Kluyveromyces lactis: one gene and its partners. Each later gene encodes a partner of the first gene's protein in a complex. Links are inferred from orthologs where the notes say so. Each region holds a gene or a part of one and is shown in the gene's direction. Other genes may lie near its edges.

The links.
Region 2: MRPL28 (region 1) and MRPL50 share a complex: the UniProt entries of both Saccharomyces cerevisiae proteins name them as parts of the mitochondrial large ribosomal subunit. The link is inferred for Kluyveromyces lactis from reciprocal best matches to the Saccharomyces cerevisiae genes MRPL28 and MRPL50.
Region 3: MRPL28 (region 1) and MRP35 share a complex: the UniProt entries of both Saccharomyces cerevisiae proteins name them as parts of the mitochondrial large ribosomal subunit. The link is inferred for Kluyveromyces lactis from reciprocal best matches to the Saccharomyces cerevisiae genes MRPL28 and MRP35.
Region 4: MRPL28 (region 1) and MRPL51 share a complex: the UniProt entries of both Saccharomyces cerevisiae proteins name them as parts of the mitochondrial large ribosomal subunit. The link is inferred for Kluyveromyces lactis from reciprocal best matches to the Saccharomyces cerevisiae genes MRPL28 and MRPL51.
Region 5: MRPL28 (region 1) and MRPL24 share a complex: the UniProt entries of both Saccharomyces cerevisiae proteins name them as parts of the mitochondrial large ribosomal subunit. The link is inferred for Kluyveromyces lactis from reciprocal best matches to the Saccharomyces cerevisiae genes MRPL28 and MRPL24.
Region 6: MRPL28 (region 1) and MRPL32 share a complex: the UniProt entries of both Saccharomyces cerevisiae proteins name them as parts of the mitochondrial large ribosomal subunit. The link is inferred for Kluyveromyces lactis from reciprocal best matches to the Saccharomyces cerevisiae genes MRPL28 and MRPL32.
Region 7: MRPL28 (region 1) and MRPL4 share a complex: the UniProt entries of both Saccharomyces cerevisiae proteins name them as parts of the mitochondrial large ribosomal subunit. The link is inferred for Kluyveromyces lactis from reciprocal best matches to the Saccharomyces cerevisiae genes MRPL28 and MRPL4.

Annotation. Positions count from the first base shown.
Region 1 is NC_006039.1:1,299,898-1,302,140, forward strand, and holds MRPL28 (mitochondrial 54S ribosomal protein mL40), read left to right. Parts: upstream 1-1,299; coding exon 1,300-1,743; downstream 1,744-2,243. Other genes in the region: LFT1 (Lft1p), read left to right, coding at 1-379; KLLA0_C14916g (uncharacterized protein), read right to left, coding at 423-683; KLLA0_C14949g (MFS transporter), read right to left, coding at 2,190-2,243. UniProt on the Saccharomyces cerevisiae protein: Component of the mitochondrial ribosome (mitoribosome), a dedicated translation machinery responsible for the synthesis of mitochondrial genome-encoded proteins, including at least some of the essential transmembrane subunits of the mitochondrial respiratory chain.
Region 2 is NC_006039.1:791,672-793,983, forward strand, and holds MRPL50 (mitochondrial 54S ribosomal protein bL9m MRPL50), read left to right. Parts: upstream 1-1,407; coding exon 1,408-1,812; downstream 1,813-2,312. Other genes in the region: RSC6 (Rsc6p), read right to left, coding at 1-858; KLLA0_C09086g (uncharacterized protein), read right to left, coding at 2,198-2,312. UniProt on the Saccharomyces cerevisiae protein: Component of the mitochondrial ribosome (mitoribosome), a dedicated translation machinery responsible for the synthesis of mitochondrial genome-encoded proteins, including at least some of the essential transmembrane subunits of the mitochondrial respiratory chain.
Region 3 is NC_006042.1:2,241,652-2,243,726, forward strand, and holds MRP35 (mitochondrial 54S ribosomal protein bL35m), read left to right. Parts: upstream 1-1,287; coding exon 1,288-1,575; downstream 1,576-2,075. Other genes in the region: protein channel TOM70, read left to right, coding at 1-617; NMA111 (Nma111p), read right to left, coding at 1,798-2,075. UniProt on the Saccharomyces cerevisiae protein: Component of the mitochondrial ribosome (mitoribosome), a dedicated translation machinery responsible for the synthesis of mitochondrial genome-encoded proteins, including at least some of the essential transmembrane subunits of the mitochondrial respiratory chain.
Region 4 is NC_006042.1:776,644-778,799, reverse strand, and holds MRPL51 (mitochondrial 54S ribosomal protein mL43), read left to right. Parts: upstream 1-1,227; coding exon 1,228-1,656; downstream 1,657-2,156. Other genes in the region: GCD2 (translation initiation factor eIF2B subunit delta), read right to left, coding at 1,867-2,156. UniProt on the Saccharomyces cerevisiae protein: Component of the mitochondrial ribosome (mitoribosome), a dedicated translation machinery responsible for the synthesis of mitochondrial genome-encoded proteins, including at least some of the essential transmembrane subunits of the mitochondrial respiratory chain.
Region 5 is NC_006040.1:1,064,461-1,067,062, reverse strand, and holds MRPL24 (mitochondrial 54S ribosomal protein bL28m), read left to right. Parts: upstream 1-1,334; coding exon 1,335-2,102; downstream 2,103-2,602. Other genes in the region: KLLA0_D12584g (uncharacterized protein), read left to right, coding at 1-1,031. UniProt on the Saccharomyces cerevisiae protein: Component of the mitochondrial ribosome (mitoribosome), a dedicated translation machinery responsible for the synthesis of mitochondrial genome-encoded proteins, including at least some of the essential transmembrane subunits of the mitochondrial respiratory chain.
Region 6 is NC_006042.1:1,182,630-1,184,913, reverse strand, and holds MRPL32 (mitochondrial 54S ribosomal protein bL32m), read left to right. Parts: upstream 1-1,226; coding exon 1,227-1,784; downstream 1,785-2,284. Other genes in the region: septin CDC10, read right to left, coding at 1-683; KLLA0_F12804g (uncharacterized protein), read left to right, coding at 2,263-2,284. UniProt on the Saccharomyces cerevisiae protein: Component of the mitochondrial ribosome (mitoribosome), a dedicated translation machinery responsible for the synthesis of mitochondrial genome-encoded proteins, including at least some of the essential transmembrane subunits of the mitochondrial respiratory chain.
Region 7 is NC_006038.1:467,767-470,710, reverse strand, and holds MRPL4 (mitochondrial 54S ribosomal protein uL29m), read left to right. Parts: upstream 1-1,445; coding exon 1,446-2,444; downstream 2,445-2,944. Other genes in the region: NTE1 (lysophospholipase), read left to right, coding at 1-246; U4/U6-U5 snRNP complex subunit LSM3, read right to left, coding at 531-782; 8-oxoguanine glycosylase OGG1, read right to left, coding at 2,636-2,944. UniProt on the Saccharomyces cerevisiae protein: Component of the mitochondrial ribosome (mitoribosome), a dedicated translation machinery responsible for the synthesis of mitochondrial genome-encoded proteins, including at least some of the essential transmembrane subunits of the mitochondrial respiratory chain.

The DNA of each region.
Region 1 (2,243 bases):
TGGTGATGATGTCAAGCCGAAATTTAAAATGGATCCCTTGGAACCATTTGTCGCCAAAGCTTTACCGAGAGAGAAGAAGAAGCGACCAAAGGAGAAAAGGAAGAGCAAATTTTGGTTTTGGGGATCCCTTACCCATCATACTGACGAAGGAAACCACAGAGACAAAGCTAGGTCGCCAGAGCTTGAAGATTATAAAATTGGTGTTGTATCACCGAATTCGCGGTCCCCCACGTTATCGATTCCTTTCTCTGATCCCGATAACACTCAGACTATTACCAATAACGCAGTATCGGACAACATTAACCATCACCTGTCGCTAATAGACCTCGACGATGACGAGGAACACTTAAAGTGTTCAACGCCACCGTTAATACTGTGATACGTACTTTTTTTAGGCCTAATATATTTATTTCTCATCCTATTTAAATATCATCTACATTAGCACTGTAACTATATACCTTTTTTTGAGCCGGCGTTATTATAACTTGTTCTCTGCGTACCGGGGTAGCCACGATTGCCTCTGGTATGTGGTTGGTGCTCATATGACCCACTTGATTGCAATTTTCTGCTTGCTCCTCTCGTAGTGCCTTGTCTTCCTTAAGAACATCTGTATACGTTGGAGGATCCTCTGGCAAGGAACTTTTCTTCTCATCAGGATATTGCTTCTGATCGTCTTGAGACATCTTTCCGTAAGTTTGAGTTTAACTGTTTACGACTCCGAATGTTGGTCCAAGGGAAATCTCAACTCTTCGAACAGCGTCGGTTCTGATTGCCATTAAAATATATTGTCGTTTCTATACATTATAAATGGTTCAAACAGGGTCCTTGATGTGCAGATTTCCCTTTAAAACCTTACAAATGGCGTAATGCTATATCATCATATATCAGATGTAAAGATGAAAAGAAGGAAAATATGATATCTAAGGTATTCCAGGCTTTGTTAGATTCAATTTTTCATTATGTGAGGTGGCATAGCAGGTAATCAAGACAAGTCGGAAGTTAATCACCTACCAGCTAGTCGAAGGGCAGCTACTCCCTGTGTACTTGAACCTTTTTAGGTCACGTGCAAAAGAGTTTAGCAGTCAAAATAATCAACAGTTCCGGGTAACAGACATTTGTTTGTTCAACATCAGTAACTTTGAAAAATTTTGAAGATTCGATGAGGTTTCAGTGAGTTTATTGTTAGCTTTGACAATAAATTGAATGACGATTAAATACGGGTTGATTTTCTGCGATAAGTTCGTGTGATAGCATACAGCTTCTCAGCCAACCGAAAGGATCATTAATACTCCATCCACTATGCTAGCGAGTGCAGCATCTCGTAAGAATGCCTTGAAGGTAGTGCAACCCTCTTTGAACTTTGTTCGTGGGAAAAGAACTAAATCGAAAGGTGGATTAAATCCTCAAGCGCAAAGAATCATTACACAACTCTCTGTTATGTCTGCTAGCAGGAAACAGCCAAAACTTTTAAAACTTTCCCGTGAAGATTTGATCAAACATGATATGATTCAAGCTTGTTGGGCGCAATATCAAAGGGAACTGAGGGAAAAGAGAACAAATCTCTTGAAACTACAGTACGAGAATATAGAAGAAGCTATGAACTTATTAGAACAGGTAGATCCCGAACTATATGAAATGGCTAACGCTGAAGAATCAGGTAAGAGGGTCCCATTGGAACTAAGGGTACCTACTCAATACCCACCGAACAATGTGTGGTATTATGATTACAAGAAAAAGGATTGAATAGTTCGTTTCCAGGCATAATGCATTAAAGGTAGAGCACGAATCATATTTCACATTATCTCTTCTAGGACACTTTTTTATCGGTACACCAAACGTGGGTTGCTCGAGAAACAACTTGTGTGATCTACAGGCAAGACCAAGTGCCACGCAATAAAATATAATGGAGATGTTGCATTATATATTGTAATGAAAGAGTTAGATAGAAGAAATGTAAACAAACCATGTAAATAAGCAATTCTACGAAATGATTATCGGCAGAATGAAGCTCTTAAGCTTTTCAAAGGGGACTTTAACCGTATTCCAAAGTGACAGTGTACTTCAGAAAAAAACATGGCTTCTGTGTATACATCGGTTCGAATATGAATAATGGTCTTGTTTACAAATAGCATTATTCATTTGACTTAGATGATTTTAGCTTGAATGGGTACATGGTTAGCAAAATGGCATCACCATACATATTTTCTCCAGAATGATTTGCCTGCGGTGTTTTCAACGTTTGG
Region 2 (2,312 bases), about 510 kb from region 1:
CACTAGCTTTGCTAATGAAGCATCCATTTTCACTAAGACTTTCTCACCGTTTGTGGAATCCTTTGGTCCCGCCTCGTCGTTATTCGTCAATAGACTGTTTAATAGAATATATTTGTAAAGAGAGTATATCGCCTCATGAAAGGTTCCTTTTGAGAATCCGACAATACATGATAGTTCTGGTGAATACTGTAAGAACTCCCCTGTATACCCTTTTGGTTGGATAGTGATGGTACAGTTAACGTTTTCAGTACCCTTACGTGAAACATCAACACCGTCAAACTCTACAGGAGTATTAGGATCCACATGCCATTCAAAAACGGTTTGCTCATTTTTTGGCTTTTTAGCACTAGGTTCCTGTGTCCCTTCTAATAAGGGGTCTCCCATTTCTTGATCAGTTTCATCATCTTGATCTTCCTCTACAGGTTTGAAATCTATCGCGACGCTTTCTATAAAGGAGGAAAATTTAGGCCTATTTGGATCGTCTGCCTTCCCATTATCTAACAGTCTACCTTCAATACGCAATGTCCATGATGCTTGATCAAGTTCCATGGTCTCATCGTTCGTCTGCCATGGCTGGTTCTCAGAAATATTAGAAATGAAAACACGAACAAACTGATTATTCGCAGGATCTGTGTATTTGGAATGAGTCCATTGAGTAATATTCTGATGCAAATCAATTTTTTTACGACTTAAATATATGTCAATTCTCTTCTCAGCCTCTTGTAACTTACTTAGCCCATCCAATTCTGGTATTAATTTCTTCAAATACGGTTGGATATACATGTCAGTTGGTTGTGCAACTGGCACAGTTTGTGCCTGTTGATGTTCAACCGTTGCTCCACTCTGTGCCGCAGACATTTGATTTTGATTTTTCTTTAATCTCAATCTAGCGGTAGCTTAGTTTATTCTACTAGGAGGTAAGCAGATGATATGTCTCATCTATACAAGTTGATGCATGTAAGTTAATGTACCAAAAGCTAGTGAATGCTTTGTTTAGGTTGATTGAATAATTCGAAAAACTGATGTTGAAACAACGAAAGCACCCATACACCCATACACCCATACAATACTTTATAGCGAATCGTATTAGGTTAGATTGTATCCATTACGCAGTTCATTTATAAATAAGTATTTCAAAGGTTACAAACACGGAGTAGTACAGTATGAACGGCTGTCACTCGCTAAACCAATCTTTTATCTTCTTTTTATGTACACATCTTTTAACTAGGCTGGCACTTAGATATGATTTTAAAGCTTCAAAAATTTTTGATAGTTTAAAATCACATTAGAACAAGATCAATCTAAAAGTTAACCATAAGCAGGGAATTAAAAATAGCGTCAATTGTGTTTGAAGTGCTATTCCAATAACTGCACACGCTCCAAGGGCTTTTAAAATATTACAGCAAAATGTTCAGACCGACATCATCGTGTCTTTCTGCCTTAACCAAACGTACAAAGAGAGTACAGGTACAGTTATTAAAAGATTTTCCTCAGTTCCAATTTCATACCGGCGAGGTGGTAAATGTCAAGCCCTCACTAATGAGAAACTTCTTGCACAACTATAATGGAGCCCGCTACATTCTAAAGGAAACTGATATTGACCAAGCCCTGTTGACCTCAGCTAAGAGATCACGTGCATCAGCAGCAGCTTTATTAAAAACAACCGAATCAACGGTGAAGAAGACTGAACAGAACGTAAAGAAGGCTAAGCAGGTATCCAAGGAAGAAAATAAGACACCAGAAACTCCTAAGTCAGCATTAAACGAAGAAATAACTATCGAGAATGTGAAGATTCCAGGATTAGACTTATGATAGTAAATGTTTTATCTTTTTTTTCCTCCTTACGCGGATCATTTGAGATACCAATGTCTTACAAAATAATAATGATCATGGATGTTGTTCGTGACGTCTCGTCCCCATTGCGGTTCAGAGGCACATTCATACACTTGTACATAAATTACATTAAAATAACTTGCGAAAACAATAAAGAAAGTTCGTTGCATCCAATCGCTACCAGTTGAAGTAATAACGTGGACAGTAGATCTGGATGATTCATACTAAATGGGGATTGACAAGAGAGTTATTACTACAGGAACGCTCATCACCTGGACGAGCATATTTCTCTTGATCAGCTTTAACTGTTGCTTTGGAAATAAAGAGACGAGAATGAGAAACAACCCCAATAGTGATGAACTTTCTAAATTCTCATTTTCTGTTTGTTTCTCAGACGTCTTTCTCTCTTTTCTCTTTTCTTCAACTCCATTTTATCAAGTTCTTGGTCGGTCAACTTGTCTCTCATATCCTTTCTCTTT
Region 3 (2,075 bases), on another chromosome or scaffold:
TCAAAGAAGCTGGTGCCGATTTCGATAAGGCTAAGGAATTAAATCCAGAAAACATTTTTGCCTACATCCAATGTGCTTGCTTGGCTTTCCGTGACGATAGATTTGATGATTGTGAAACTTTGTTCAGCGAAGCCAGAAGAAAGTTCCCAACTGCTCCAGAAGTTCCAAACTTTTATGCCGAAATTTTGGCTGCTAAGAACTCTCTAGATGCTGCCATCAAGCAATACGATATTGCCATCAAGTTGGAAGATGCTTTACCAGGTATTCACGTCGGTATTGCTCCAATGATTGGTAAGGCCACTGCTTTGATTAGAAACCCAACCGTTGAAAACTTCGTTGAAGCTTCCGAATTATTTGAAGAAGCTTGTAAGATCGATCCAAGATCCGAACAAGCCAAGATCGGTCTTGCTCAACTAAAATTGCAACAAGAAGAAATTGATGATGCCATTCAATTGTTCGAAGATGCTGCCGATCTCTCAAGATCTTTCGATGAAAAACTACAAGCTACTACTTTCGCTGAGGCTACCAAGGTCCAGAAAAAGATCAGAGCTGATCCATTCATTAAGGGTAAGATCGACGAAGCTATTGCAGCCTACCGTGCTCAAGGTCTCGCGTAAATTAGCATGATATTCACGAATGAATTTAATTCATTTCAATATGAGTAAAGCTACAATAGCTCATTGTTTTTGTCTCACCTTAATGACCATAATGGCAACATACCATGCAACATCTAAACGAATGAATTACCAAGAAAGTTATGATTTTACAAACAAAAAGTTGTAGCATTTCACCCAAGTTATTTATGACTCGTAAGCAGCGTGAACTGTGTTAATCGTAAACGACAAGATCTCAACATTACAACGTGAAGAATAAGAAATAGTTATCAATTCTTCACAAAAACAAGACAAAAAGAAACACAGAAGAACAAGAATACGAGAACAACGCTTTTCAATAACAGCTCATTGCAAAATATGTGCTCCTAAATACCCCTGGTTCAAAAACATCATCTTCTACCATTTTGCTAGAAACAAATACGTCTTTCTGTATATACATGTATCTCCCCCATCTCACAATTTAATCAAATTGTAATTTTAAACACTTCGATAGTATATCACTACATACGTTTCAACATAAATGACATTTTTTGTTTTCTCTGAAAGAAGTGTATGTAATAAAAGTTTCTTGTGAGATTATGGCAAGGTACTGAGTGAAAGTGAGCTACAATTCAAGTACTTCATTGTTAACGGACTATAGCAGGATTTACCCCACCAGCGAACTACTTCAAATATGCTATCTTCTATCTTTGGTTCGATGATGAACTTTTCCGCTAGAACTGGACTTCTGGGATCTAAAACTAATGTTTCATCGCTCATCCTCACCAGAAACTTGATGAAAACACACAAAGGTGCCGCAAAAAGATGGAGAAAAACAGCCAATAGCTTCAAGAGGGGCAAGGCTGGAAGAAATCATGGTAATGCTGGATGGAGTAGGAACTCCCTTAAATCATTATCTGGCAGGTCATTAGCAGACTCCACACATATGCATCGTTTAAAGAGATTGCTTCCATACCATTAAGAGATGAAAGGCAATTAAAATAAGATATCGTTTCGATTTCAATCCTGTACATATAACAATGGCATCCCCATAATGAATGACACACCATTTCTTACCATGATTTTCAGTAAAGCATGTCATGAAAAATCAGCGGGTTACTATAATGGATAATTATCATTAATAAATACCTATATACAATTTGCAAACAACGGTAAAAAATGATTAATCATATATATAGTCAAATTAAGTCTCCGAGATATCATTCTCGATCCAACTACCTGTTTTTGGATTCTTTCTTAATTCTACCGTTGGGAAGTAGTGATAGTTTGTCTTTAAGGAAATGGCAAACGGAACATCGTCAAATGTCATTAAGCGTAACTTGCAGTATGTATTATCTGGGATTTCTTTAACAACCTTCAAGAATGTATCCAAATCAGGTGTTGATTGGTCATTGACGTGTGTGATAAAGTTGGTCACTTCTATTCCGTACTGTAACGCCAAAGAAGATGTACCACGAGAAA
Region 4 (2,156 bases), on another chromosome or scaffold:
TATAATCGTTTTTAATGAGCGTAGTAAAGTTAGGTTGTTGTTCGAGGGTGTTCAATCTTTAATTAATCTGAAGGAAAACTATGTATATTAAGAATTCTTCAATGACATGAAATAAAGGTGCAAGTAAAAGGTATGAAAATGGTAGTAAAAAAGTGCCATTTGCTGCCCTTCTTATATAATACAAATGTTACTTTGGACACGCTAATAAACTCTTAACACCTTATAAGTATTTACCGTTGATGAATTACCAAGTTCCAGTTAATTAGTATGGTATTCTTCTGCTTTTTTCCCTAAATTTTTTTGTCGCATTTTATACTGCATCGTTGAAACGCTTCAGTGAACGCCGTAATAAATTAAAGAAACGGATACAAACCTTGACTGTTCGCTACTTACAAGTGAATGTTTTTTAGGGGTGGTCATCGTTATACGCATCCTTAAAAAAACGCATAGAACTTTAATTTTTCAATAGTTATAGGGACATTATACGCACCATAATGATAAACTGGTGACTATTATGGCAATACATTTGCCTGTTCTTGAACAAAGTGTCATACACTTACATCACACTTAATAGGGAGTGCCCAGTTAATTGGTTTAAATGACGCATGTGCATAATTTTTTTAACAAATTACTAGTGTGCATCCAACATACGCTAGGTGTCAATCCGTACATTCCATGGGTGAACGCAAATCAGGCCCTTTATTTAATTAACCTCATATGAAGCCTTTGGGACATCTTGGATCAGAATCTGGGGCCTCTATCGTACTTTCTATGGATTTGCTCAGTAAAAGTACCCTTAACCAAACGCTGGTAGTGCATTATTGTCATAACCCATCGACAGATCATCAAGTTTACATGACGTATGACATCTCATGAGGATGTGTTGACATAGCAATGTGAAAGAAACAGAATATAGTCGGAAAGAGGTTCTGTATTATTTACATTCGTCACCTTATAGCAGTGTTGGTACCAGTATCTTTTTCATTTGTGTGAGCATGTGGTGAATTGTCCTCCTACCTTCGAATACATACAGATTTGTTCACGTGACTGATGGTCTTTTGAAATTGGAAAAAAATAATCATGAACTGAAAACTCGAATAAAACTCAAAAGATATATTAGTGAATCTATGTTCTGCATCTGAAGGATCTCTCCACAGTTTCAAAATACACCCAACTTGTTTTCTAATCAGAGCTGGTACCCGCGGTCATAAAGATTTCTCTGAAGTAATGGTTGTTAAAGTTTTGAGACAAACTTCTATCGCAAGAAATGGTGTTGGCGCTTTTGTGCTTCCATGTAAAAAGATCACTTTGCAATACTGTAATTGGGGTGGTTCCTCACAGGGTTTGAGAGATTTCCTAACGTCTAACAGAATGATTCAATGGGCTGAAAAATATCCAACAATACAGTTCGAAATAGTAAGAAAGTCTGGCCATCCAGTTATAAAAGGTGACTATGTTAATGGCCGTAATAAAGCCATCTGCGTAAAAAATCTGAACATTGATAATGTAGAGAATAAGTTAAAACTAATCAGAGACGCATCTGGTGAGCAACTCCGTCACAGAACTAAGAACGACAATGTGGATACTTTGAACGATAGTGTGAGAGGTATCTGGTCTCCACTACATTTAAGCCCAGCCATCAGACACAAGGTTTGAATCGAAAAAATGACTTGTGAATGGTAATATCGAGATCATAGCTTAACTTGTACATATATATAGCAATATCCTCGATGAAGCCGATACCTAAGTAAACAACCTACGATGTTGAATATTACTACGCAATTAATAAAAAAGAAGATCTATACTAATTTTTCATTTACTATATTATATGATATTATCGTATATTATATATGCAAAGGGCTCCATTCAAGCTGATGCTTTGTATTCTCTAAGAACCACGGGAACAGAAGATGGTGGCAACGAACCAAATTCTGTAATGATCTTCTTGATGTAGTCAGGGGGTGTTAAATCGTACATTATATTGAAGATGTGCAAATTAGGTGATTTCTCCCACTCTGCTAGTATTGGTTTATCCTTGACATTCTTACCTTCGTCGGCAGTAGCATTATTGGTATTAGCACTGCCAGATTTATTATTTTGCTTAGAGCTATTCTCGACTTCCTTCTGCTGCGCTTCACGCTCTTTGATAAATTGCT
Region 5 (2,602 bases), on another chromosome or scaffold:
GTTACACACAGGGCATGGGTTTTATTGCTACTACTTTAATATTGAACTGTGAAGAAGAATGGCAAGCGTTTTCTCTATTAACGAAACTCATGAAAGTATACGGATTAAGGGATTTATTCTTGCCGGGAATGCCTGGCCTGATGTTGAAATTGTACCAATTTGATACACTTTTGGAGGAAAATGATCCTCAATTGTATAACCATTTGATCAGGCAGGGAATAAGATCTACAATGTTTGCAACTCAATGGTTCCTGACGATGTTCGCATACAAATTTCCCCTTGAATTCGTTCTCAGAATCATGGATATTGTCATACTTGAAGGTATCGAATCGATGCTAAAATTCAGTTTAACGTTGATGTTAAAGAACAGTCGTAATTTGATCATTCTCAGTTTCGATTCTCTCTTAGACTTCTTGAAGGAGGACCTTTTCCAACACTATGCTTCTAAGGAGAACCCAGAAGAGTACGATATTGATAGATTCATCTCTGATTCGTTGGAAATCAAATTAACTCCATTGCAATTGGAGCGTTACGTGAAAGAGTACGATGAGATTCACAAGTTGGAAACGGAAAAGGAACAACAATATGAGGAACAAAGAATTAAAAACAGACAGCTTCAAAAAGAGTTGAAGAAATTAGAAAATGACTATTCGCTATTAAACAGAGAGCATATCACTATTGCCAATGAACTAATTGAAAACAGACTTCGGATGGAAACTCTTCAGGACGAAAATAAGGATTTATTACTAGAGATAGAAGATTTGAAGAAACAACTGGAACGTGAACTTTATAAACAAACGTTACCTAATCCAGATGCTGAAATTCCCACAGATTTGAAAGCAGATTTGAATAGAACAATGGAAAGAAATCTGGAAGTTATGGACGAAAATCAAGAGCTCAGAACACGCCTTGACGAATTAGAAAAAGAGAACTATGAATTACGCACAGGTAAGACTTGGACCAAAGATGCCACCAATCCAAAGGGAAATCGTCTCGGGAATTGGGCTTTCAAATCACCATGGAAGAAATGAGAAAAATTGCAACAGGGACCTCATTCACAATATCCATCCAGCCGTACATATATACATACCCTTCATACATACATGATACCGCCAACCATTACGCAGAGGTGTATTCTAATCATAAATTTCCTTATGCTTTACCATTCTCGCTGTATACGGTTTTGATCTTTCCAAAGCTTATTCAAAATTTTAGAAAATAACGACTTGATACATGCACTAAGGTGAAGAGAAGGAGCTTGAACCTAGTATGAAGCTAGTTGGTCTAAGAGTCTCTGTACGTTCACCAATAAGCACGGAGATCGTTCATCTGGAATGAAGTTTTTTCCAAGTTCCCAAAGAGGGTTTTCCACTCTTAGCCACCTCCTCAGAGAATGGAGATTAGTTGAAAGCAGACAGATCCCAACTCCAAAGACGTATCAAGTCGGCGACAGCAAGCCATTATATATCCCAAAGGAGAAGAAGGAATTCCCTGATTATCCATACGGAGAATCTCCAATTTACAAACAGAGTAACAAAGGTTTATACGGTGCGTCTTTCATCCAATTCGGTAATAACATCGCTGAATCGAAGACAAAAACCAGGAGATCATGGAGTCCAAACGTTATTAGAAAAGGACTATGGAGTGAGACTTTGAACAGAAAGATTAGTATTAAGATGACAGCAAAAGTTTTAAGAACAATTACCAAGGAAGGTGGTATTGACAACTATTTGACTAAGGAAAAGGCCGCCAGAATTAAGGAATTGGGACCTACTGGTTGGAAACTCCGTTACAGACTACTGAACTCTAAGGAAAAAGCTGCCAATCCTGTACATAAGGACGCTGAGACTGTCACAGATGCCAATGGCAACGAAGTCACCGTATTGTACAAAGTTGTTGTCGATGGAGAACCATTGAGAATTACTGCTGGTAAGCGTAAACTATTGCATACCCTTTTCCCATTGGAAAAGATGGAACACAAAGCGGATGGATTAGATCTATCGTTTAAGAAATTCATGGACCAATTTGCTACCCGTGACGTGGCAGACATCGTATCGAGATTAAAGGCCTTGAATTTCGATTTGAGTACGATTACTGTATGAGAACTGAATAGATTTTGTTCCAATTTTATATAAAAGCTTGTAAACAATGAGAAAATAGATTCTACCATGAGCTGGGAGGATGCTTGAAGACTATGCGTTAGTTGTCCGACTGACCGATGCAAGAGTTAATCACCCACTGTTCAATTGAATTGAACGGTGTGCATGTGACTGTTGCACCCAGACATTATTGACTGTTGCACCCATACATACTCAATTTCTGCTGAAAATGAGAATGTTTCCATACTAGGAAATTATTTTCTCATGTCCACCAAATCCGCTGAGCTGACGGTAGGATGCACAGACACATCCCATCCGTCTTCGTTGCTTGCTTCGAGCTGGGCAGGGCCTGTCCCGTTTCCTCCCTAAGCTGGACTGCCCGGTCTGGGCCTGGACATTCCACCAAACTGGCCGCTGGACTGCCCACTTAGACCCCAGGCTAGGCATCTCATGGTTTCCATTCACTTCCCATACCCTCCCAAACACTCCTCCGGGTAATCATC
Region 6 (2,284 bases), on another chromosome or scaffold:
AGATCGTCTAAATCATATGGATAGATTCTGAAATTGTACTTTTTAAATTCTTCTTGTAAGATGTTTCTGAAGTTAGCTCTCTCATTCAACGTCAAAGTATCAGCTTTAGCGATCACCGGGATAACATTAGCGATTTCTGTCAATCTCTTCAAAGCAGCAACGTCAAGTTCTGTTAGACCCTTACCGTTAGGTTGGATGAAATATAACACTGCATGTACTCGAGTGTCTACAATGTGTCTTTCACGTTGAGCAGTCAACTCTTTACGTAAATATTGAGAGTGTTGCTCCTTGATGTACTTGACAATAGGTTCCCAAACTTTGTCGTTATTTATCTGGTCACCAAAACCTGGAGTGTCAATCACGTTCACGTTCAAACGTACACGGTCTTCCAATAAAGAATGTGTTGAAACCTTGATCTCGGTGGTCTTACTAATTGGTTCCTGAGTGATGTCCTTACCAGTAGAAGAATCAACCAAGTGAGATGCAAACAAAGTGTTGATCAAAGTACTCTTACCCAGACCAGAATGTCCAACGACCATAACGTTGAATTGAAATCCTCTCTTCAACAAACGATGTTCAATCTGTGAAGTAATCGAATCAAACCCAACATAAGAAGATGGATTTACCAAAGCCAACCCATCAGAAGAAGAAGTCATACCAGCTGCAGCAGTACTAGATGCCATTGTTTTTGTTTATGCGTGTATTTTACCTTTAATAATTCCTTTCGCGTAGTAGAGATGTATATAAGTCAAATCCAAATGATCAAAGCTTTACGTGTTTTAGTGTTTGGAAGTTAAAATAATGAAAAACCTCTAAGTTATAAAAACAATTAACCGCAATAACAAAAATTCAAACAATGAGTAGCAATTAACCACAGAAACGTCAAAAAAAAGTAATCACAATCTTACTTATTCTAAAGAATACAAGATCTGATTCCTTACTTATATTTTGTTGACACACTTATTTCGTTTCGAGTTCCATTTTTAGTTTTTGTGATTTTTCGTCTTTTTCATCGAAATCGAAAAAGGGACACAGATCATCACCAAATCAGGGTAATGTTGAAAATTCTTTCTTATAATCCAATTCGTCAATACCAATTTGAATTGACGAAGTTCAAACAGAGTTAGACGAGCGACCTAGAGAAACTAGTATCTGTCCCTATCGATTGAACTTATCCTTTCTCCTCTTCATCATAGTATCATACCAGCAGCGAAAATAATTAGAGGATGTCTTTTGGAGCTGTAACGGAATCTTTTAGCAGAGTGTTGCTGGAAACAGCGACATCAATATTGCCTCGTTGGAGCACTCCAGCAGCTGGTACTGCATTGCCACAGAAACTGCTGGAATTGCTTGAAAGAAACCAACGTGAAAAGTCTTCACCTCAAGCGGATTACTTTACGAATAACGGGATCCTTCTAGCTGTGCCCAAGAAGAAAGTGTCGCATCAGAAGAAGAGACAAAAGTTATATGCGCCTGGAGACAAACAGCTGAAAATGATCAACCATTTGAACAAATGCCCTTCATGTGGGCATTACAAGAAGGCACATACGCTATGTATGCATTGTGTGGGTGAAATCCGTCACATCTGGAAGGCTCACACTAACGTTGAACAAGTGGAGCCTATTCAAGAACAAGAGTTGTCTGAATTGGACAAGCGTATCTTGTATCCTGGTAGAAAAGAAACTGAATACACAAAGAAACTGAAGGACAAGGATGCTTATTTGGAGAGACGTATGAAAACTCTGCCAGTGGAGAGATCTGAGAAGAAAGAAGGATCACATTAAACCCTCTTCTCATTGAATCCAGTACAAAATAACACATCGGCGGAAATGACTAAAAAAAAACAACCTTTTATCAAGTTCAATCCCCCCATCACCTTGTATATATATGTCGAATACACGTCCCAGATTTTAGCAGGTTATTTCAGTGTCAGCATTCACCTCCTGTAGTAATAGTTAGATTCATTATCTCATCACAATCAACTCTACATAGAATCAAATCACATACAAAAATTTTCCTAGAGCAGGCTTGATGCCAGGCCTAAAGGCGTGAAAATCAGTCGAGAAAAGATCAGATTGAAAAGAAAAAAATCATGAGTGAAAAGATTTGAAGTAGCGATGAGATGAGATGAGGTGCGAATACACGATACAGGATTAAGCAGGACCTGAAAACTGGCATCAGTTTAACAGTTTGGTCTGATATTGGTTGTTTTGTTTTGTTTCACTTTAAATTGACAATAAGGCTGACAATTTTCCATACAGTATGACAACGACACGACAGTTCA
Region 7 (2,944 bases), on another chromosome or scaffold:
GCTTCTGTCAATGCCTTAGAAAGGGCTAAAAGTACACCAGGTGTGGTGTACATCAGGCCTCCTATTGAGAACTATGCGACTTTGGATTTTGGTAAGTTTGAAGAAATATACCAAGTAGGCTACGCGTACGGTCATGACTTTTTACAACATCTGCAAGAGAAAAACGAATTACCGCCAATTGCGGGTACCACAACTTCTGCTTATGCCGACAAAGAAAACATGTTACAAAGACGGAACAGTATATAAAACGAATTAACAGGAAACGCTACCCACATTTGTCGATGGTGGACATGCAGGACATAAAATCAAAGCCATGGCAATTAACGTTATAGTTTCTAAGTAACTGTAAACCGAAAGTTAAAAAAAAATTGAATAAACTAAATATATACTATACAAATGTTAGCGATGGATGTATATTGGGGGCAAAATGAGGATAGCTCACATCGCACTCAATCAATAATGAGGACATGAAGTTATTTCTTCGAATTTCCCTTATTAAATGTTGAAAGAAGAAGAAGGATACTGGACAATCATTCATCTTCTGGTGTTGTTACAAGGGCCACAAGACCACCTCTAACGAAAATCATTTCCGAAAACCTTTCGGTCGTTTTCAAATCTCCTTCTACTAGTTCATAAATGGTTTCCTTTGAATCTGAAAGAACAATATTACAATGTGAGTCGAAAGCCTGAAGAGTACCCACTAATTCACGAGCATCACGTAATTTCACATATACTCGCTCGTCTAAATTCAATTTTAATAGATCCAGAGGCGTATCAGACATCTTTGCGGCGTAAAGTGTGTATGTCTTCTATATTTATGATGCAGTCGTATTCTTACAATAACCAATAATGCAATTGATAGAGGGTACAGCAGTTAGGTTGAATGGTTTCCTTTGTCAGTTTATCAAATGGAGTACCAGGTATAGTAGAGTAGTCGATATACAATCCAAGGCTTAGTTCCATTCACACTCCAGAGCATCCTCCATAACATACTTAATCACCAAATTATTGTTAACGTACTAATTGATAAAAAGTGTTGAAGTTTTGAATTTCGATGTCAATGGAAAGCTCTGAATTATAGAATAATCAGTTAAACCAGGGAAGGTACACGTTTCCAACCATCTTTGAATGATACTGTACCTGTTGAAAGATGGCCAGGATATGCGATGCTAGTTTATCATCTTATTGCACTATGCTTCACTAAGAGAGTCAATAGTCAACCTGATATTCACGTGACTATCACATGACAAAGGCCGGGCAACCTAATGACGGACCCCGAATCAACTCTGTTCGATCAAAAAATTTTTATAACATTTAAGCAGAGGAAAGCTGAATAGGAATTAAAACATGGATGAATCAGCTAGCTGTCGTGATATTGAAGTGTTCTACCTCGATTGAGTAGCTGCAGGACGTGTTTATTATAGCAGGGATATTATATTTTCAAAATGTTCCCAGCAAGAAGGGGATTGCATACTACTTCTAGAGCATGTGCCAGGACGAGATTCACCAAACCTAAACCCAAACCAGCCAAGAGAGAGAACGTTAGACTACCTACCCAGAGGACCCATCACGATAATGATTTAAAGATTACAGCTCCTATTCCACCGGCTGCTGCCAATTTGACATGTCCAGATGATCATCCTTTATGGCAATTTTTCTCCGAGAAGAAGTTTTTAAGAACGCCCGAGGAATTGGATACGCTTTCGAGACCTTGGACCATCCCAGAGTTGAGAAGAAAATCGTTCACTGACCTACATTCTTTGTGGTACACATGTTTGAAAGAACGTAACGTATTAGCACGTGAAAACCATTTGGTGCAGTTCAACTTTGAAGCACAAACCGAAGCATACCAAGATATCTCCGAAAAGATCAGAACGACAATGTGGAGAATAAGACACGTCCTTAGCGAACGAGACTGGGCATTCAAGATAGCGAATGAGAAATTTGCTGTTGAAAAACAAGTATTTATCGAATCATTCGAAAAAGACTTTTTAGAAGCTCCTGCTAACGAAGATGAAGAGATTTTCGAATCATTGCAACGTTTTCAATATGCCATATACGGTATCTCTGAGTACATCGATGAGAACAAAGTGGACAGAACATTTGTGGATGGATTGAAAGCGGTTGCAACATTGAAGTTAAAGAAATTTGCACTAAGAAACGAGGACATCAAGAACTTTTTAGAAGAATCTAACAATACAATTGTGGATGCAGGTGAATCCTTCCTTCTGTATACATCAGAAAACACAGAATCTGCCATCGCAGAAGCATGTCAAGCGGTAAGGGAGTTGAGAGAAAATGGCTCCTCTGTGTCTAGATACGATGAATTGGAAACTGTTCAAGAATATGTTAATAAATTAGCTGAGGCTCAAATGGCAAAGGTAACAGAAGCGGAAATACAGCTGCAAGAAGAAGATGCAAAAAACAACGCTAATACACTATGATATTAATGCCATCGAAGTGATTGTATAAAGAGATAAGTGTAACCGTCCATTTGGATGAACCCAGCCTTCCTGTACATATGTATACACCAACTTAAATAACGGAATATAAAACAAAAAATTTCCTTCGACAACACTTTAATTTGACGAATAAGAATTGTATTTAAAGAGAGTTTTATTTGCAGTCAATTAATTCAATAGACCTTTTTAGCCTTTTTTACCGCTCTCCGTAGCGGCCTCCCAGTAATGCTATACTCTATCGACATAGTATCTTCAATTTTAACCGTGGACAAAGAATCTTCCGTACTGATCTCTGCCTCGTCTTTGACTACAACTTTAAAGTCTTCTTCTTCTCCAGATGCATCATAGTCCAGTTTGCGTCTTTTCACTAATTTATCACTTGTACTTGCTCCAACTGTTTTCCCAATTTCTTGTGCGAAAAGGACACATTGTGCCCAGCCCGCGTATGGGCCCCATAGATCCTGGAGCTTCCTTCTGTACAT